4 linked regions of the Macaca fascicularis genome follow. The protein of the gene in region 1 interacts with the protein of each later gene in a pairwise test. Links are inferred from orthologs where the notes say so. Each region holds a gene or a part of one and is shown in the gene's direction. Other genes may lie near its edges.

Region 1 (4,227 bases):
GTAACTACACAGGAATAAAGGACTTCCCTACAAAAGAAGGGCATTTACCTACTGCCAACCTCTTAAATTTCATCTGCTCAAGGCCAACTATGCTAGCCTCAATTACAACCCCTAAAGTTGCCCCAAATTCCTAACATTAACCCCACCTCTAATTTGTTTCCTGATTCCCACTACCGGCTTGGACATTCATCCCTTTCCCAGCAGAGACTCATATCCAATCCCTGATCCCTGATACTGATCTAAGTTTTACCTTTAGCACCAAATCGCCTGATGTTAACCCTAAATGTTGACCCCTAAGCCTAAAGTTCATTTGTAACTTGATTCCTAACTCACACTTTCACTGTTTATCCTTAATACCGACCATGTCAACATTCTTTAATCCCTCAAACAGGCTCTAACCTGATTCCTGTTGTTGACCCTTAACCCGACCCTGAACTCAAATTATGACGTATGATGGCCATCCCAGCAAACAAAATAATGACCTTAATCTAAACCTTACCTACCTAAAACGGACCTGACTCACACTACTAACTCTTAAGTTTTAACCCCAGCTTTTAACTCCTATAGCGACCCTTGATTCCTAAACGGACCCCACCTAATCCCCAACTCACCCAAAGCTTTCCTACCCACATGGCCGCTATCAGCTAACACCAAAGCCCGTCCCCGTCCTGCGCCCCGCTGCCACCCGACTCCTCACGCTCCCCAAAGCCTATCCCAGGCAGAGGACTGCCCCCAGGAGAGGCCTGTCTCCCCTAAGACGGCCTACTTCACGATGAGCCCAAGTTGAGATGCGCTGGACGCTGACCTCTCCAACTAACAGAACCCGAACCGGACACGCAGGAGAGGCAGGGCCCCGCCCGCCCCCGGGGCCAGGCTCCGCGGCCCCACCCTAAGGCCCCCGCCCGGCCCGGTCTGGCCTACCTGCGCTGCCCGGCTCTGCGCCCCGCCTGCCGGCCCGCCGGCCCGCTGCCCTGCCGCTTCTCGGGTCGCCCTCGGGCTCCGGCCTCGCCCTCCCTTCGACACTCTCTCGGCCACTTCCGTCCTGGGAACGTCCCCCACCCGCGGGCGGCGCCCTGGGGCAGCGCTCTATGGTCGCGGGGGGCAGGCAGGAAGCTGCTCTGGCCGCGTTCTCGATGCTCGGGGGCCGCCAAAGGCCGGCAGCCCCTCCCTGGCAGGAAGCGAGGGTGCGGCGCAATCCGGAGAGAACGCCAAGACGACGCCCGAGTTCCCTTTCAGGCCAGAACTCTTCCTTTTTCTAGCTTGGGGGAGAAGGCGGAGCCGGAGCCCTGGAACCCCCGCCCTCGGGGTGCGAGGCGGCAGCAGGGCCGTCCCCTACATTTGCATAGCCCCTGGGACGTGGCGCGGCACCCAGGCCTCTTCTCAGTTGGAGGGAACTCCAAGTCCCACAGTGCCACGGGGTGGGGTGCGTCACTTTCGCTGCGTTGGAGGCTGAGGAGAATTGAGCCTGGGAGGCGGGTCCGGAGAGGGCTACGGAAAGCCCCCGGCCGGGAAGCCCGGCCGTAGAGGGACAGTGGATAGGTGCCCGAGGCCTACAGCTGGCCTGGGGCTCGTGTCTGGGCTTCGGACGTTGGGGCCCGGTAGCCCACCCTTTCCGTAGTTGTCCCAAATGGAGCTGGAATTGGACGCTGGTGACCAAGACCTACTGGGCTTCCTGCTAGAGGAAAGTGGAGATTTGAGGACGGCGCCCGATGAGTCCGTGAGGGCCCCACTGGACTGGGAGCTGCCGCTTTCTGAGGTGCGTTGGGGTTCTGACTGGGGAAAGCGTGGGATGTCCATGAGGTCAGGGGATGGTGATAGGTCAAGGCCTGTTCACTGGAACCCTGCGCAGGTACCGAGCGACTGGGAGGTAGATGATTTGCTGAGCTCCCTGCTGAGTCCCCCAGCGTCGTCGTTGAACGTTCTCAGCAACTCCAACCCCTGCCTTGTCCACCATGACCACACCTACTCCCTCCCACGAGAACCTGTCTCTATGGATCTAGGTGAGTCTGAAATAAGTTTGCGGGGAGGACAGGGTTCATGGGCCTGGCTATTCATACGTTCCCTTTTGCAGAGAGTGAGAGCTGTAGAAAAGAGGGGACCCAGATGACTCCACAGCATATGGAGGAGCTGGCAGAGCAGGTACTTGACTTGATTTTCAGGAAGATTACTCTCACATTCCTCAGGTGGGGGCAGGATTCCCCATTCCTCTGTGACATCCCCATGCAACTGCCGCCCACTTTCTGGTTACCCTAGGATATTGTTAGGCTGGTACTGACAGATGAGGAGAAGAGTCTATTGGAGAAGGAGGGGCTTATTCTGCCTGAGACACTTCCTCTCACTAAGGTAAGACTCTCGTTAGTTGAGCAAAGGCTGAAAAGGGATTAAAAGTCTCAAGTAGGCCAATTCTGTTAACTTTATATCAATAACTTTAAAAAAGGATTGAGGTGAGAAACTTAGCAGATTTATTGCTAATAGGAAGTTGAGGCAGGTACCCAATATGCTAGATGCAAGGCAGATCCTCATTTTCGTTGGGCTTACACAAATTTTGGTGTTCTGTTAAAAAACAAACAAAAAAAAACCCTCAAAATTATCAGTGCAACATTAGTATTGGGCCTTGGAAAGGACTGTGTAAGTGAAGGGCCTTGACACTTCATTGGCTTCATAGTAATCCACCTCTTGCTGAATGGTAGAACTGTTTAGAGAGTTCAACACGATTGGACTAAGCAGTACATGAATAAATGCAAAATCCTTAGTTTCCAGTTTTAAGCAATCAGTGGCAACTTCACAAGCAGAGTACTGGGATACTATGATGAAATCAGTGCTCATTAATAGAAAGGTTCCAGGAATTTTTTTTTTTTTTTTTGACAAGGTCTTGTTCTGTTGCACAGGCTGGAGTGCAGTGATGTGATCATGGCACACTGCAGCCTTGAATTTCTGGGCTTAGGTGATTCTCCCACCTCAGCCTCCTGAGTAGCTGAGACTACAGGTGCACACCACCCTGCCCGGCAAATTTTTTTTTTGGTGTTTTTAGTAGAGATGGGGTTTTGCCTTGTTGCCAGGCTGGTCTTGAACGCCTGTGCTCAAGTGATCTACCCACCTTGGCCTCCAAAAGTAAAGAATTTTAATTCCTTCAAAGTACAAGATGAGTCAGCAGTGCGATGTGGCTACTAGGAAAGTTAATGGGATTTGGAAACTGTAGCAAGAGTTATTGTCTCCACAAGTCACTATCTTGCTTTCCTTTATACTGGCTAGAGCACATCTTTGACAGATACTAAGAAGATGCAGTCTATCCTAAGAAGATGAGTTAAAATTTTTGTCTAAGCTGTTTTTTTCTTGAACTTTTTTTCTCTGAGGAAATGTCAAATGCCTGAAAATAGCTTAACAGGGTTCATTCTATTTGGCCCCAGAGATACTAGGTAAGTCCAACGTATAGAAATTATAAGGAGACAGCTGTTGGTTCAGGATAAGGAAGTTTTTGTTTGAAGACAGATTCTTGCTTTACTGCCCAGGTTGGAGAATAGTGGTGAGATCATGGCTCACTACAGCTTTGACCTCTCAGGCTCAAGCGATTGTCCTTCCTCAGCCTCCTGAGGAGCAGGGACCACAGGCATGTGCCACCACACCCGGCTAATTTATTTTTAGTAGAGACAAGGTCTCACTGTGTTGCTCAGGCTGGTCTCAAACTCCTGGGCTCAAGCGGTCCTCCTGCCTTAGCTCCCCAAAGTGTTGGGATTACAGGCATGAGCCATGTCACTTGAATATTGCCTGACCAATTTTTTTTTTTAATAGTTTAAAATGGTCTGGCTTGTTAGGGTTAACACGTGCTCCGTGGAGGCATTCAGAAAGAATGTGAATGCCTATTGGTCAGGGAAGCTGTAGAAGGGATTTCTGTATTGGAAAGAGATGGATCTCAGTTGCCTTTCAACTTCTTGTTCTAGAGTCCCTCTAATGATACCCCTTTCCCTGTTTCCTTTCAGATGGAGGAACAAATTCTGAAACGTGTGCGGAGGAAGATTCGAAATAAAAGATCTGCTCAAGAGAGCCGCAGGAAAAAGAAGGTGTATGTTGGGGGTTTAGAGAGCAGGTATGAAAGGGAGAGGGACTCAGTTTTAAGTGTTAGGTTTTTGAAGGGAGGACACAGGCCATATCCCCATATCTTTGTTATTTCCCCCAGGGTCTTGAAATACACAGCCCAGAATATGGAGCTTCAGAACAAAGTACAGCTTC
Region 2 (3,982 bases), on another chromosome or scaffold:
AAGCGATTTGCCTGCCTCAGCTTCCCAAGTAGCTGGGATCACAGGCACCCACCATCACACCCAGCTAATTTTTGTATTTTTAGTAGAGACGGGGTTTCACCATGTTGGCCAGGCTGGTCTCAAACTCCTGACCTCAGTTGATCACCTGCCTCAGCCTCCCTAAGTGCTGGGATTACAGGCGTGAGCCACTGCGCCCATCCGTCTATGATATTTTTCAAGGACATCAGGCCCACTGGTGTGACCAAGATACAGGTGATCTAAGGTATGGGAAAACATGAGGGCTGCATGCCAGGCCCTGGTCCCTGTGAAGCCCCCACCCTCATCCTCTCACTCCAGAAGCGTGGCACTGCAGGCATAGGGGTACTCAGCTTCCAGGTAATGAGGTGGGCTGGGAAGGGGTTCTCTCCACGGGGGTCTGGGCGTTAGGGGGGACCCAGCCCCACCTTGCTCACTCTGAGGCAGAGCTGCCCCATATCACCCTTGAGGCAGGTACTGTCACACTGTACATTTCCCGGGGTAAGAAACGGATCAAGAAAAGTTAAACTCGCCCAGGGCCGGGGATGGAATCAGAGCTGGAGCTGTGACCTGGAAGCTCATAACCACAATACGGATGAGCCCCGCTGAGGTGGGGGAAGCCTTGGATTCCTGAATTCCAGGCTAGAGCCCCTCCTACAAGAGAAATCGGGAAGGGCGCGCGGAGGTGAAACAGCTCCGACTGGGAAGAATCCAGGTAGTAGTGGGGTGGGGGGAGGTACTTCGAGCAAGCAAAACAGAACAAGAGGGCACAGTGCAGGGGGGTCTGACACCCGAAGATCCCGGTCGTCCTATCATTCCCGAAGGGTTAACACGCTCTCGAAGAAAAGGAAGTGATTCGCCTGAGTAAGAAAGAATGGGGTGGCGCCTCTCCTATTTTTTTAAAATAGAGGTAGGGTCGCGCTATATTGCCCGGGCTGGCCTCGAACTCCTGGCTTCAAGCAATCCTTTCCCAACTCCGCCTCCTAAAATGCTGGCATTACAGCCCTGAGGCAGCGCGCCCGGCCCAGCGCCCCGCCTCAAAACAAGGTATTACTTCTGCTCCAAACAAAGATGGGCCAGCGAACTGGAGCAGGCGAAACATCCGCCCGGAAGGCCACTTGAAGGCACTTCCGCCCTCTCTTAACATGGCGCCGGCGGAAGGGGCGGGGTAGGACCGGGCGATAATGGCGGCGTCGAGGCTGGAGCTGAACCTGGTGCGGCTACTATCCCGCTGCGAGGCGATGGCAGCGGAGAAACGGGACCCGGACGAGTGGCGCCTGGAGAAGGTGAGGGGATCTCGCACTGCCGCGTAGAGTCCGACTCCCGGGGGGTGGTTCCTAGGGTTGGAAGCCACCTAGCCGGACTCCCCTGCCCCAGTAGCCTCTCGGGCAGCGCCCTTTCCGGTCAGTCCCGCCACGTCTACCTGTAGCTTCCGCCCCCGTCCCTGGGACTCCGCCCCTCCCCCACTGGCCCCGCCTCCTTTGCGCTTGACCCCTCCCATTTGTCGGCCCCGCCCCCCACTCCCATGAGCAGGACGTGGGAACGACCCCCGGGTGACAATCCACTTTTCCTCCCCAGTACGTGGGAGCCCTGGAGGACATGTTGCAGGCCCTGAAGGTCCACGCGAGGTGAGTGCAGGCAGCCTTACTGCTTTCACATCAGCACGTGGCTATTCTGGGACATCCCAGTACCGCTGTCCCAGCTGGGACCCTTCCCTGAGCTGGGGACCATGGACAGGTTTTCTTTTTCTTCTTCCTACCTCCCAGCAAACCGGCCTCTGAGGTGATCAATGAATATTCCTGGAAGGTGGATTTTCTGAAGGGGATGCTGCAAGCCGAGAAGCTGGTGAGAAGGGGTGCCCCTCCCCCTCAGCCCCCATCACTGCTCACTTTCGTCCCCAGGACCTGCCCCTCCAGTGACTTCTCTTCCCACATTTTTGCAGACCTCCTCCTCAGAGAAAGCACTGGCCAACCAGTTCCTGGCCCCTGGCCGTGTGCCAACCACAGCCAGAGAGCGAGTGCCCGCCACAAAGACGGTGCATCTGCAGTCACGGGCGCGGTACACCAGCGAGATGCGGAGTGAGCTACTAGGCACGGTAGGGCTCCTTTCCTGGTCCCTGGGAACCCCTTGGACAGGGACGGGGGTTCTATGCCTGCAGGCAGCCGGAACCACAATACTGTCAGATACAGGGGCTCTGAGGGGGTCCAGCAATCGCTTCCCTGGGTCATCACACAAGGCCGCCCAACAGAGGGGCACTGTGGCTAAGGCTTTGCTAGATGAATAGCAAATTTGGTACAAGGCAGAAATGGAACGTGTCAGGTTAAGCCCCAGAGTTGGCCCAAGAGCAGGGTTTGAGTCCTGGCTTGCAACTTACAAGACACGAAAGTTTCTTCAGCTGTAAAAGAAGATGACAAGTTCCTTTCTGAGCACTTTATGTGGATCAGCTCAATCTTTTAAAATATGAGTTGTTGGCCGGGCGCGGTGGCTCAAGCCTGTAATCCCAGCACTTTGGAGGCCAAGGCGGGCAGATCATTTGAGGTCGCGAGTTAGAGACCAGCCTGACCAACATGGAGAAACCCCGTCTTTACTAAAAATACAAAATTAGCTGGGCGTGGTGGCACATGCCTGTAATCCCAGCTACTCAAGAGTCTGAGACAGGAGAATCGCTTGAACCTGGGAGGCAGAGGTAGCGGTGAGCCAAGATTGAGCCATTGCACTCCAGCCTGGGCAATAAGAGCAAAACTCCATCTCAAAAAATATATATATATGAGTGGTTGTTACCAGTTTATAGTTGAGGAAACAGGCTCAGAGGTCATGGGATTTCCCTATGTCCTGACTGAAGGTGAAAAGGTTGAGATCAGAAGGGACAGGTTTGGGAACAAGACAAGGGGGGTGACTTCATGGCATTTACTTTTTTTTTTTTTTTTTTGAGATGGAGATTCACTCTTGTTGCCGAGGCTGGAGTGCAGTGGGGCGATCTCGGCTCACTGCAACCTCCGCCTCCTGGGTTCAAGAGATTCTTCTGCCTCAGCCTCCTGAGCCATGGAATCACAGGCACCCCTACCACAACTGGCTAATTTTTTGTATTTTTAGTAGAGATGGGGTTTCATTACGTTGGCCAGGCTGGTCTCGAACTCCTGACCTCAGGTGACCTGCCCACCTCGGCCTCCCAAAGTGCTGGGAGTGAGCCACCGCACCCAGTCTCATGCCACTTACTTCTTTCCACAGGACTCTGCAGGTGAGTCACCATGAACACAACAGGACTTGAGGGCCAGCTGCCTAGGACAAGACATACATCCTTGCTGCCCTGGGGCCTCCATGCCCAGCCTGACTCCAACAGCAACATAACCAAATTACACGTGGAGGAAGAGCCAGGACAGAGGAAATGACCCCGAGAGGAAACAGAGCTAGGCACTCCTGCCGGGCACAGTGGCTCACACCTGTAATCCCGGCAATTTGGGAGGCTGAGGCAGGTGGATCACTTGAGGTCAGGAGTTTGAGACCAGCCTGGCCAACATGACCAAACCTTGTCTCTACTAAAAATACAGAACTTAGCCGGATGCAGTGCCGCCTGTCTGTAGTCCCAGCTCCTCAGGAGGCTGAGGCAGGAGAATTGCTTGAACCCAGGAGGTGGAGGTTGCAATGAGCTGAGATCACACCACTGCACTCCAGCCAGGGTGACACAGCAAGACTCCCTCTCAAAAAAAAAAAAAGGAAAAAAATTAGCCAGGCGTGGTGACGCACACCTATAGTCCCAGCTATTTGGGGGGCTGAGGCAGGAGGATTGCTTGAGGCTGGGAGGGGGAGGTTGCAGTGAGCTGAGATCGCGCCAGTGCACTCCAGCGTGGTTGACAGAGAAAGACTCTATCTCAAAAATAAGCAAATAGATAAATTTGTTAAAGCTAGGCACGCCCAGCCTATGGGACCAAGGCTAGGCTGGAGGGAGGGATCTGGGGTCTGAGGGAAA
Region 3 (4,248 bases), on another chromosome or scaffold:
GCCCAGGCTGGAGTGCAGTGGCCGGATCTCAGCTCACTGCAAACTCCGCCTCCTGGGTTCACGCCATTCTCCTTCCTCAGCCTCCCAAGTAGCTGGGACTACAGGCGCCCGCCACCACACCCGGCTAATTTTTTGTATTTATAGTAGAGACGGGGTTTCACCGTGTTAGCCAGGATGGTCTTGATCCCCTGACTTTGTGGTCCGCCCTCCTCGGCCTCCCAAAGTGCTGGGATTACAGGCTTGAGACACCGCGCCCGGCCAATTTTTGTATTTTCAGTAGAGACGGGGTTTCACCATATTGGTCATGCTGGTCTCCAACTCCTCACCTGGTGATATGCCCCCCTTGTCCTCCCAAGGTGCTGGGATTACAGGCGTGAGCCACCGTGCCTGGCCTAGACCAGCCCCATTTCAAGGGCTCAGTGGCCCCGTGGAGCCACTAGACAGCATTCTGGACCAAGTCAAGCAGAGACAAATGTAGTTCCCCTGTCCATAGGACGGAGCAAAGTGAGGAGGGAGCCGGCCGCGGTGGCTCACCCCTGTAATCCCAGCACTTTGGGAGGCTGAGGCGGGAGGATCACCTGAGGTCAGGAGTTCAAGACCAGCATGGCCAACATGGTGAAACCCCTCTCTACTAAAAAAATACAAAAATTAGCCGGGCGTGGTGGCGGGCGCCTGTAATCTCAGCTACTCGGGAGGCTGAGGCATGACAATCGCTTGAACCTAGGAGGCAGAGGTTGCGGTCAGCCGTCATTGTGCCACTGCCCTCCAGCTTGGGGGACAGAATGAAAGTGTTTCAAAAACAAAACAAAACAAAAAAACAAAGTGGGGCGGGGGCTTTCATTAAAAACGGCAGTGAAGCCACCCCCAGAATGGGGCTGGGGCTCAAGGTTGCAGGTTGGGGGTTCCCAAATGGGGAGCTTTTCGCCACCCCATTTCCCCCTTCCTTCCCTTCCACTCAAGAGTCTCCTCCCGTAGTGGCATCGCCATCCAGACTCCGCAGCCCGCGACCCCAGTCCCTAGCCCTCTCCTGCTGTTCCCGCTGTACCCCGGGAGCCTCCCACCTCAGAATTTACCCCGTCGGCGCCGCCTGTCATGTGGATGCTGCCTTGCCTGTCACTCAACTTCTTGCCCCGCCCCCCCGTCTGGCCTAACGGTCGCTTACCTTGGTTTCCACAGCGACGCCATCAGGGGGCGTGGCAAAGGGACGCGCGGCGCAGAGGCCTCCTTTGGATTGGCGGATGGTCAAGCCCCTTCTCTTTAGCCCCTCCTACAGGCGCTACGCCCCCTTCGGTGGCTCTCGCAAGCTGATTGGTCAATCCCTGGTGCTAGCCCTAGTCTTGGTTCGGACCGTCCCCAAGGAGAAGGGGCGAAGGTGGGCGCCTCGTGCCCTGATTGGCCGACGGGGCGCGCGCGGCCGGGAGGGGCGGGGCGGACGCACAGCCGCGTTTAGTCTAGCGCAGCGGTCGCGAGCGCTCTGGGTATCCTGTCCTGTGCCGCGCAGTTCGGCAGCAGCAGCCGCGGAGCAGTAGCCGCCGTGGGAGGGAGCCATGAAGCACTACGAGGTAAGAAGCGAGAAACAGGGACCGTGTGGCCACTGCTGACCCATTCTTTTTCCTTCTTTGCGGGACCACGGGACCCCACTTTCTGGTCCTGTGCCCCGAAGGAAGAGTCGGACGGCGCAGGCGCAGTGGGCAAGCGTTGCGCCCCCGGCCACTCGTAAATTCCAATGCGCATGTGCGGAGGAGGTATTTATAAATCTGCAACCCAGGCTGTTTTGGGGGTGCTTTTTTTGGGGGGTCTCTGCAGGGGCTGGGACGCTTGCAGGTTCCTTGTAGCTCCCCCGGCGGGCTGAGTTGCAGACTTTGTCATGGAAGCCACGAAGGTGCGGGACCCTTGCTCCCAATCCGAGGGAGTCTTGCACAAATCTTGCGCCACGCTGCCGCCACCAGCGTAGGAAGGGGCTTTGCAATCAGTCTTTATGTACGACCTTTGGACCCCTTCCCTCGCCCGGGACGTTCCCGGGAGACTTAGGCGGTGAGGGAGGTGCAGCTCCACTGCTGGCTTTCGCAGAGCAGCGAAGCCGATCTTGCTTTCTGGTTATCTAAGGTCATCTCCGTCAACCCTTGGGTGTCATCAAGCAGAAATCTACCACGCACAGCCACTCTTGAAGCCCATGTCTTCTGACTCCTAACTTGGGTCACTTTTTCCCCTAAAACGAAGCCGTTTGATGTGCTTATCGCCCTAGATGATAATATGATATTAATAATTCAACCAATTGTCCCTGAATTATTGCTGACTTTTAAGTAACTATCATCAAATAATAAAATTTGTTACCAGAATTCAAAGTAAGAACAATTTAGCAAGTGCTTACTGTTGTGCTGGTGAGATTCTGTTACCTTGTATAAGAACTATTATTACTCCTGTTTGTAAGGATGAATAAAGTCTCAGAGATATCAAGTGACTTGTTCAGAGGCCCCTTGCTAGTAAATGCAAAACAGATAGGAGAACTCAGGACGCCAAGGTCTTAGTTCCTAGCCACTATGCCATGCTGGTCCTCAAACGAAAAACAGCAGGTCGAGCGATTTCTTGTTTCTCACTTCCCCTCCACTTTAAAAAATTCTGGCAAAATACACATAAAAGTTACCATCTTAACTATGTTTAAGTGTACAGTTCAGTGGCATTAAGAACATTCACGTTGTTGTACAACCATCCCCACCACCCATCTCCAGAACTCTTTGCATCTTGCAAAACAGAAGGTGTAGCCATTAAATTCTAATTCCCCATTCCTCTTCACCTCCGCCTCTGGCAACCACCCTTCTGCTTTCCGTCTCAATGAATTGACTACTCTAGGTACCCTGGATACGTAGAAGGAATTTTTTTTTTTTTTTTTCTTTCTGGAGACAGAGTTTCGGTCTTATTGCCCGGGCTGGAGTGCAATGGCGCGATCTTGGCCCACTGCAACCTCCGCCTTCTGGGTTTAAGTGATTCTCCTGCCTCGGCCTCCCGAATAGCTAGGATTACAGGTGCCTGCCACCATGCCCGGCTAATTTTTTGTATTTTTAGTAGAGACGGGGGTTTCACCATGTTGGCCAGGCTGGCCTCAAACTCCTGACCTCAAGTGATTCGCCCGCCTCGGCCTCCCAAAGTAGTGGGATTACAGGTGTGAGGTAGCACGCTTGGCTGTTTTTATTCACAAGTTGAATATTACTACCTCTACTCCCTGCCCTCTTTATTGTTGTTATTTCTGGAAATTTACCCACAATCCTTTGAAGCCTTTGTTTTTTGTTTTTTGTTTTTAGACAGAGTTTCACTCTTGTTGTGCAGGCTGGAGTGCAGTGGCGTGATCTCGGCTCACTGCAACCTCCACCTTCCAGGTTCAAGTAACCTTCACCTCCCAGGTTCAAGTGATTCTCCTGCCTCAGCCTCCTGAGTAGCCGGAATTACAAGCATGAGCCACCAAGCCTGGCTAATTTTGTATTTTTAGTAGAGACGGGGTTTCTCCATGTTGGTCAGGCTGGTCTCGAACCCCCGACCTCAGGTGATCCACCCACCTTGGCCTCTCAAAGTCCTGGGATTACAGGCGTGAGCCCCTGTGCCTGGCCCCTTAGAAGCCTTTAACTCAGAAATCCTGTAATTTTTGACATGGTATCAACAATGAGGAGGTTTGTATTCAATAATCTCTAATATGTCATTTACGTTTTCATTCTAGAATAAAGTTCTGATATGGATTCCCCTCTCAAACTCTGTGTCTAAACCTGTAGTCCCACTACTGTAGTCTCAGCTACTCGGGAGGCTGAGGCAGGAGGATGGCTTGAGCCCAAGAGGTTGAGGCTGCAGTGAGCCCAGAAATCAGGCCACTGCACTCCAGCCTTGGCAACAGAGACCCTGTTTCAAGAAAAAAAAAAAAAAAAGCTACCACGTCCAGCTTGAAACATGCAGTTTGGAACATCCATATGGCATTTTGCAAAATGTAGCTGGTTTAGTTTTGCTAGTTAACAGTCAGATAAAGTAGGCCTCTGAGCACCCTGGGGGTGAGCGCTTTTGTTTCAGGAAGCTGGGCACAGCCTGAGGCCCAAGACTTGGACTGGAGAATATGCTCTACCATACTTAATCCTTTTCTCTCCCAGAAAGAAGGGGGAGCTTTGGCCGGGCATGGTGGCTCATGCCTGTAATTGAGCACTTTGGTAGGCTGAGGTGGCTGGATCACTTGAGGTCAGGAGTTCGAGACCAGCCTGGCCAACATGGAGA
Region 4 (4,237 bases), on another chromosome or scaffold:
TTTGGGAGGCTGACACAGACGGATCACTTGAGCCCAGGGGTTTGAGACCAACCTGGGCAACATGGGGAAACTCCATTCTCTACAGAAAATACAAAAATTAGCTGGGCGTGGAAGTGCGAGCCTGTATTCACAACTACTGGGGAGGCTGAGGTGGGAGGATCACCTGGGATGGGGAGGTCAAGGCTGCTGTGAGCTGAGATCACACCATTGCACTGCACACTGAGTGACAGACAGACCCTGTCTCAAAAAAAAAAAAAAAAAAAAAAAAAGGCCAGGCACGGTGGCTCAGGCCTATAATCCCAGCACTTTGGGAGGCTGAGGCAGGCAGATCGCCTGAGGTCAGCAGTTGGAGACCAGCCTGGCCAAAATGGTGAAACCCTGTCTCTACTAAAAATACAAAAATTAGCTGGGCGTGGTGGTGTGCACCTGTAGTCCCAGATACTAGGGAGGCTGAGGCAGGACAATCACTTGAACCTGGGGGGCAGAGTTTACAGTCAGCCAAGATAGCACCACTGCACTCCAGCCTGGGCAACAGAGCAAGACTCTGTCTCAAACAAACCACAACAACAACAACAAATGAGGAAAAAGTTCAACAGAAAGACCACCTGGAAAGGGGGTAAACAATATGAAGAGAATTCACCAATACAAGATCCACCCTCCAAAGAAAGACTAAAAAAATGACAAATTGCTCAACTTCATTCATAATAAAAAAAAGAAATATGAAAGTGCCTTCGGTTTTTACCCATCTAATTGGCAAAGATAAAACATTTGATAACACACTGTGTGGTTCAGGATGTAAGGAAATTGGCCGGGCGCGGTGGCTCACGCCTGTGATTCTCCTGTAAACGATACTCCTGCCTCAGCCTCCCGAGTAGCTGGGATTACAAGCATGCGCCACTAGGCCCAGCTAATTTTTTGTATTTTTAGTAGAGACGGGGTTTCACCATGTTGGGCAGGCTGGTTTTGAATTCCTGACCTCAGGTAATCCGCCCGCCTCGGCCTCCCAAAGTGCTGGGATTACAGGCGTGAGTCACCACGCCCGGCCTGTCCTATGGACTTTACAATTAATAACTTTTTAAATCATCACAATAGCTCAACGAGAGAGGTTGGTACTATTACCCATTTTACAATTGAGGACATTGAAGCGCAGAGCAGTTGAGAAACTTGCCTAACTGGCAGAGTTAGAATCCAGACAAAGTGCTTAACCACAAGGCGATGCTTCTTCTATATATAAACTGACGGACGGATGAAATAGGCTGATTGACTGATGACTGACTGACTGACTGAATTAATGAATACATGGAAATGTGATTATAAATGTTGATTTTTTGCGCCTTCCGATTCCCCGGATCTACCGCGAGGGGGCGATCTCTCCCCGGTCCTGATGCCAGTCACTCAAGGCGCGCACTCCCTTTGCGTCTCGGGCTCGCGCGCGTTGCCGCAGCACCGGAAGTGACTGAGCTTGCAAGTTCCCCCGTCTCTTCAGGGGAAACTGAGGCCGGCTTGTTCGGGAGAGACGGCGCGAGCAGTCAGCCAGGTAGGCCGGCAGCCAGGTAGGCCGGCCCGGGTCCGCGGCGCGGAACTCGGCCGCGAAGAGCTCTCGCGTCTGGAAGCTACCGGGCCGATGAAGGGGGATGTGGCCCCCCACGGCTCGCGGGGCTCACAGGTGAGAGCGCCGCCTCCCCTGTGCCTGACAGCCGCTGCGCCCAATAGGAGCCTTCGCCGTCCCGCTTCCGTGCCGGCTAGGCTCGCTGATTGGCGGCGCTGGGGAGGACCGCCGGGGGCGAGGCCCCTCCTCCTAGAAAGGTCTAGGGGGCGCCCCCGGGGGAGGGCGGTTGCTTAGCAACGGGGCGGTGGCTCGGCGGGTACCGGGCCTAGTGAGCGCGAGAAGCCGCGAGGCCGCAACCGGCCCACCCTGGGCTCCGGAGAGGTGCAGCCCCCGGCCCCGGAGCCCTCCCGGGGGCGCCAGGAAGCCACTTTGGGCCTGTCCCCAGGAAAACGTGGTCTCAGCTGTGGGGCCGTCGAGCAGGCCTCGACCCCTCTTCCTGACCTGAGGAGAGGCCCAGCGCCTCACCCTCACCCAGTCTTTGTGCAGGGCGCCGGCGGCCATTGTGTCCGGGCGGGGAATGGAGGACCCGGCAATTCCCCACCGCCACGTTCAGGGCCTTTGGGGAATTCAAAGAAAACCAGCGGCATTTGTGGGGGGTCTCCGGCCTTCAACCTCCCAGACAGGCCTGGGGGTGGCCTTCCCAAAGTCAGATCGCAGATCCGAGGCAGTTTCCCCCTCCCTGCGTCCCTCACCGAAACCTTGAACCCCATTGAGAAGTCCCTTCAGGGTTTCGGACGCCTCCACCTCACCCTGGGCTGGTACTTAAATAGAAAAAAGAAAGGAAAAAAAAAAACCAACTAAATCCATACCAGCCACCTCCGGGAGAGTTCTCCTGGCTCCCAGTAGGAGGCGGAGAGCCAAGGGGCGTGCAAGAGCGAGGGGGCTGGGCTCCCGGGTGGCAGGAGGCCGCGGCTGCGGAGCGGCCGCCCTCGATCCGGGCGATGGAGGAGGAAGCAAGCGAGGGGGCTGGTTCCTGAGCTTCGCAATTCCTGTGTCGCCTTCTGGGCTCCCAGCCTGCCAGGTCGCATGATCCCTCCGGCCGGAGCTGGGTTTTTTGCCAGCCGCCGCGAGGCCGGCTGAGTTACCGGCATCCCCGCAGCCACCTCCTCTCCCGACCTGTGATACAAAAGATCTTCCGGGGGCTGCACCTGCCTGCCTTTGCCTAAGGCGGATTTGAATGTAGGTGGTGCGGGGGAGAGGGAGTGAGGGGGGGACTGCCCAAGGGGTGACTTTCCGAGGAAGGCATTTCGGAGAAGAGGGGGGTAGAAAAGGCTGGTGGGAGATTCAGAGTCCACTGGTGCTTTCGATTTGACTTAATTGAAGTATCTTGGAACCTAGATCCAGACCTTCGTAAGACCCACAAAGAAACCAGTTCTGGTACCTGGAGGGGGAATGGGATGTTTAGGGTAAGTGGCATGCATATTAATTTTTTTTTTTTTCCTAAAGCTCTTTCTCTCCCTTCAGAATCTTATCTTGGCTTTGGATCTTAGAAGAGAATCACTAACCAGAGACCAGACTCAGTGAGTGAGCAGGTGTTTTGGACAATGGACTGGTTGAGCCCATCCCTATTATAAAAATGTCTCAGAGCAACCGGGAGCTGGTGGTTGACTTTCTCTCCTACAAGCTTTCCCAGAAAGGATACAGCTGGAGTCAATTTAGTGATGTGGAAGAGAACAGGACTGAGGCCCCAGAAGGGACTGAATCGGAGATGGAGACCCCCAGTGCCATCAATGGCAACCCATCCTGGCACCTGGTGGACAGCCCCGCGGTGAATGGAGCCACTGGCCACAGCAGCAGTTTGGATGCCCGGGAGGTGATCCCCATGGCAGCAGTAAAGCAAGCGCTGAGGGAGGCAGGCGACGAGTTTGAACTGCGGTACCGGCGGGCGTTCAGTGACCTGACATCCCAGCTCCACATCACCCCAGGGACAGCATATCAGAGCTTTGAACAGGTAGTGAATGAACTCTTCCGGGATGGGGTAAACTGGGGTCGCATTGTGGCCTTTTTCTCCTTCGGCGGGGCACTGTGCGTGGAAAGCGTAGACAAGGAGATGCAGGTATTGGTGAGTCGGATCGCAGCTTGGATGGCCACTTACCTGAATGACCACCTAGAGCCTTGGATCCAGGAGAACGGCGGCTGGGTAAGAACCAAGCCCCTTGTGTGTCCCTTTTCTTTGGCCTCTGGTCAGAGATCCCCAACTGCCCTTCTTCTGTATCTCTCTGTTAGGTTGGGTGATTGTTGGAGACATTGATAGTTGAGGAAACCTGATCTCATTTCACGACAAGAGGTTAACTCCCTGGAAATATAAATGACCCGGTGCTTCAGAGATCAGGCATCTTTTACCCTGGTCACCCCCATGACTCCACTATTCCATACTTGTGTTCCAGTTTCTTAGCAAAGAAAACTATAGCCTATGTGTTCATTAAGTCCCAAACCTGTGAGGGTAGGAAGTTAGTTTGGTGTTTCCCTTACCGTATACAATGGTTCACACACAAAAGGGTGATGAGTATCAGTGACCCACAGACCTCTCCATCTGTTCCCCCTAGGGGTCTCAGTCCTATCCTGGGCTTCTCTTCTCCAAATCAAGTTCCCTTGGCCGGGCGCGGTGGCTCAAGCTTGTAATCCCAG

The links.
Region 2: the proteins of CREB3 (region 1) and USE1 interact in a two-hybrid assay, tested with the Homo sapiens proteins (3 studies listed by BioGRID and IntAct). The link is inferred for Macaca fascicularis from reciprocal best matches to the Homo sapiens genes CREB3 and USE1.
Region 3: the proteins of CREB3 (region 1) and TECR interact in a two-hybrid assay, tested with the Homo sapiens proteins (2 studies listed by BioGRID and IntAct). The two-hybrid records come from large-scale screens. The link is inferred for Macaca fascicularis from reciprocal best matches to the Homo sapiens genes CREB3 and TECR.
Region 4: the proteins of CREB3 (region 1) and BCL2L1 interact in a two-hybrid assay, tested with the Homo sapiens proteins (2 studies listed by BioGRID and IntAct). The two-hybrid records come from large-scale screens. The link is inferred for Macaca fascicularis from reciprocal best matches to the Homo sapiens genes CREB3 and BCL2L1.

The regions. Positions count from the first base shown.
Region 1 is NC_088389.1:63,665,254-63,669,480, reverse strand, and holds the start of CREB3 (cyclic AMP-responsive element-binding protein 3), read left to right. Parts: upstream 1-1,427; 5' UTR 1,428-1,627; coding exon 1,628-1,756; intron 1,757-1,849; coding exon 1,850-2,000; intron 2,001-2,071; coding exon 2,072-2,139; intron 2,140-2,253; coding exon 2,254-2,343; intron 2,344-3,977; coding exon 3,978-4,084; intron 4,085-4,174; coding exon 4,175-4,227. UniProt on the Homo sapiens protein: Endoplasmic reticulum (ER)-bound sequence-specific transcription factor that directly binds DNA and activates transcription. Plays a role in the unfolded protein response (UPR), promoting cell survival versus ER stress-induced apoptotic cell death.
Region 2 is NC_088393.1:17,532,201-17,536,182, forward strand, and holds the start of USE1 (vesicle transport protein USE1), read left to right. Parts: upstream 1-1,182; 5' UTR 1,183-1,199; coding exon 1,200-1,301; intron 1,302-1,593; coding exon 1,594-1,643; intron 1,644-1,781; coding exon 1,782-1,860; intron 1,861-1,957; coding exon 1,958-2,110; intron 2,111-3,243; coding exon 3,244-3,253; intron 3,254-3,982.
Region 3 is NC_088393.1:14,967,239-14,971,486, forward strand, and holds the start of TECR (very-long-chain enoyl-CoA reductase), read left to right. Parts: upstream 1-1,448; 5' UTR 1,449-1,547; coding exon 1,548-1,562; intron 1,563-4,248. UniProt on the Homo sapiens protein: Involved in both the production of very long-chain fatty acids for sphingolipid synthesis and the degradation of the sphingosine moiety in sphingolipids through the sphingosine 1-phosphate metabolic pathway.
Region 4 is NC_088384.1:87,809,798-87,814,034, reverse strand, and holds the start of BCL2L1 (bcl-2-like protein 1), read left to right. Parts: upstream 1-1,437; 5' UTR 1,438-1,553; exon of another isoform or gene 1,554-1,666; intron 1,667-2,537; exon of another isoform or gene 2,538-2,788; intron 2,789-3,055; exon of another isoform or gene 3,056-3,073; 5' UTR 3,074-3,185; coding exon 3,186-3,749; intron 3,750-4,237. UniProt on the Homo sapiens protein: Potent inhibitor of cell death. Inhibits activation of caspases. Appears to regulate cell death by blocking the voltage-dependent anion channel (VDAC) by binding to it and preventing the release of the caspase activator, CYC1, from the mitochondrial membrane.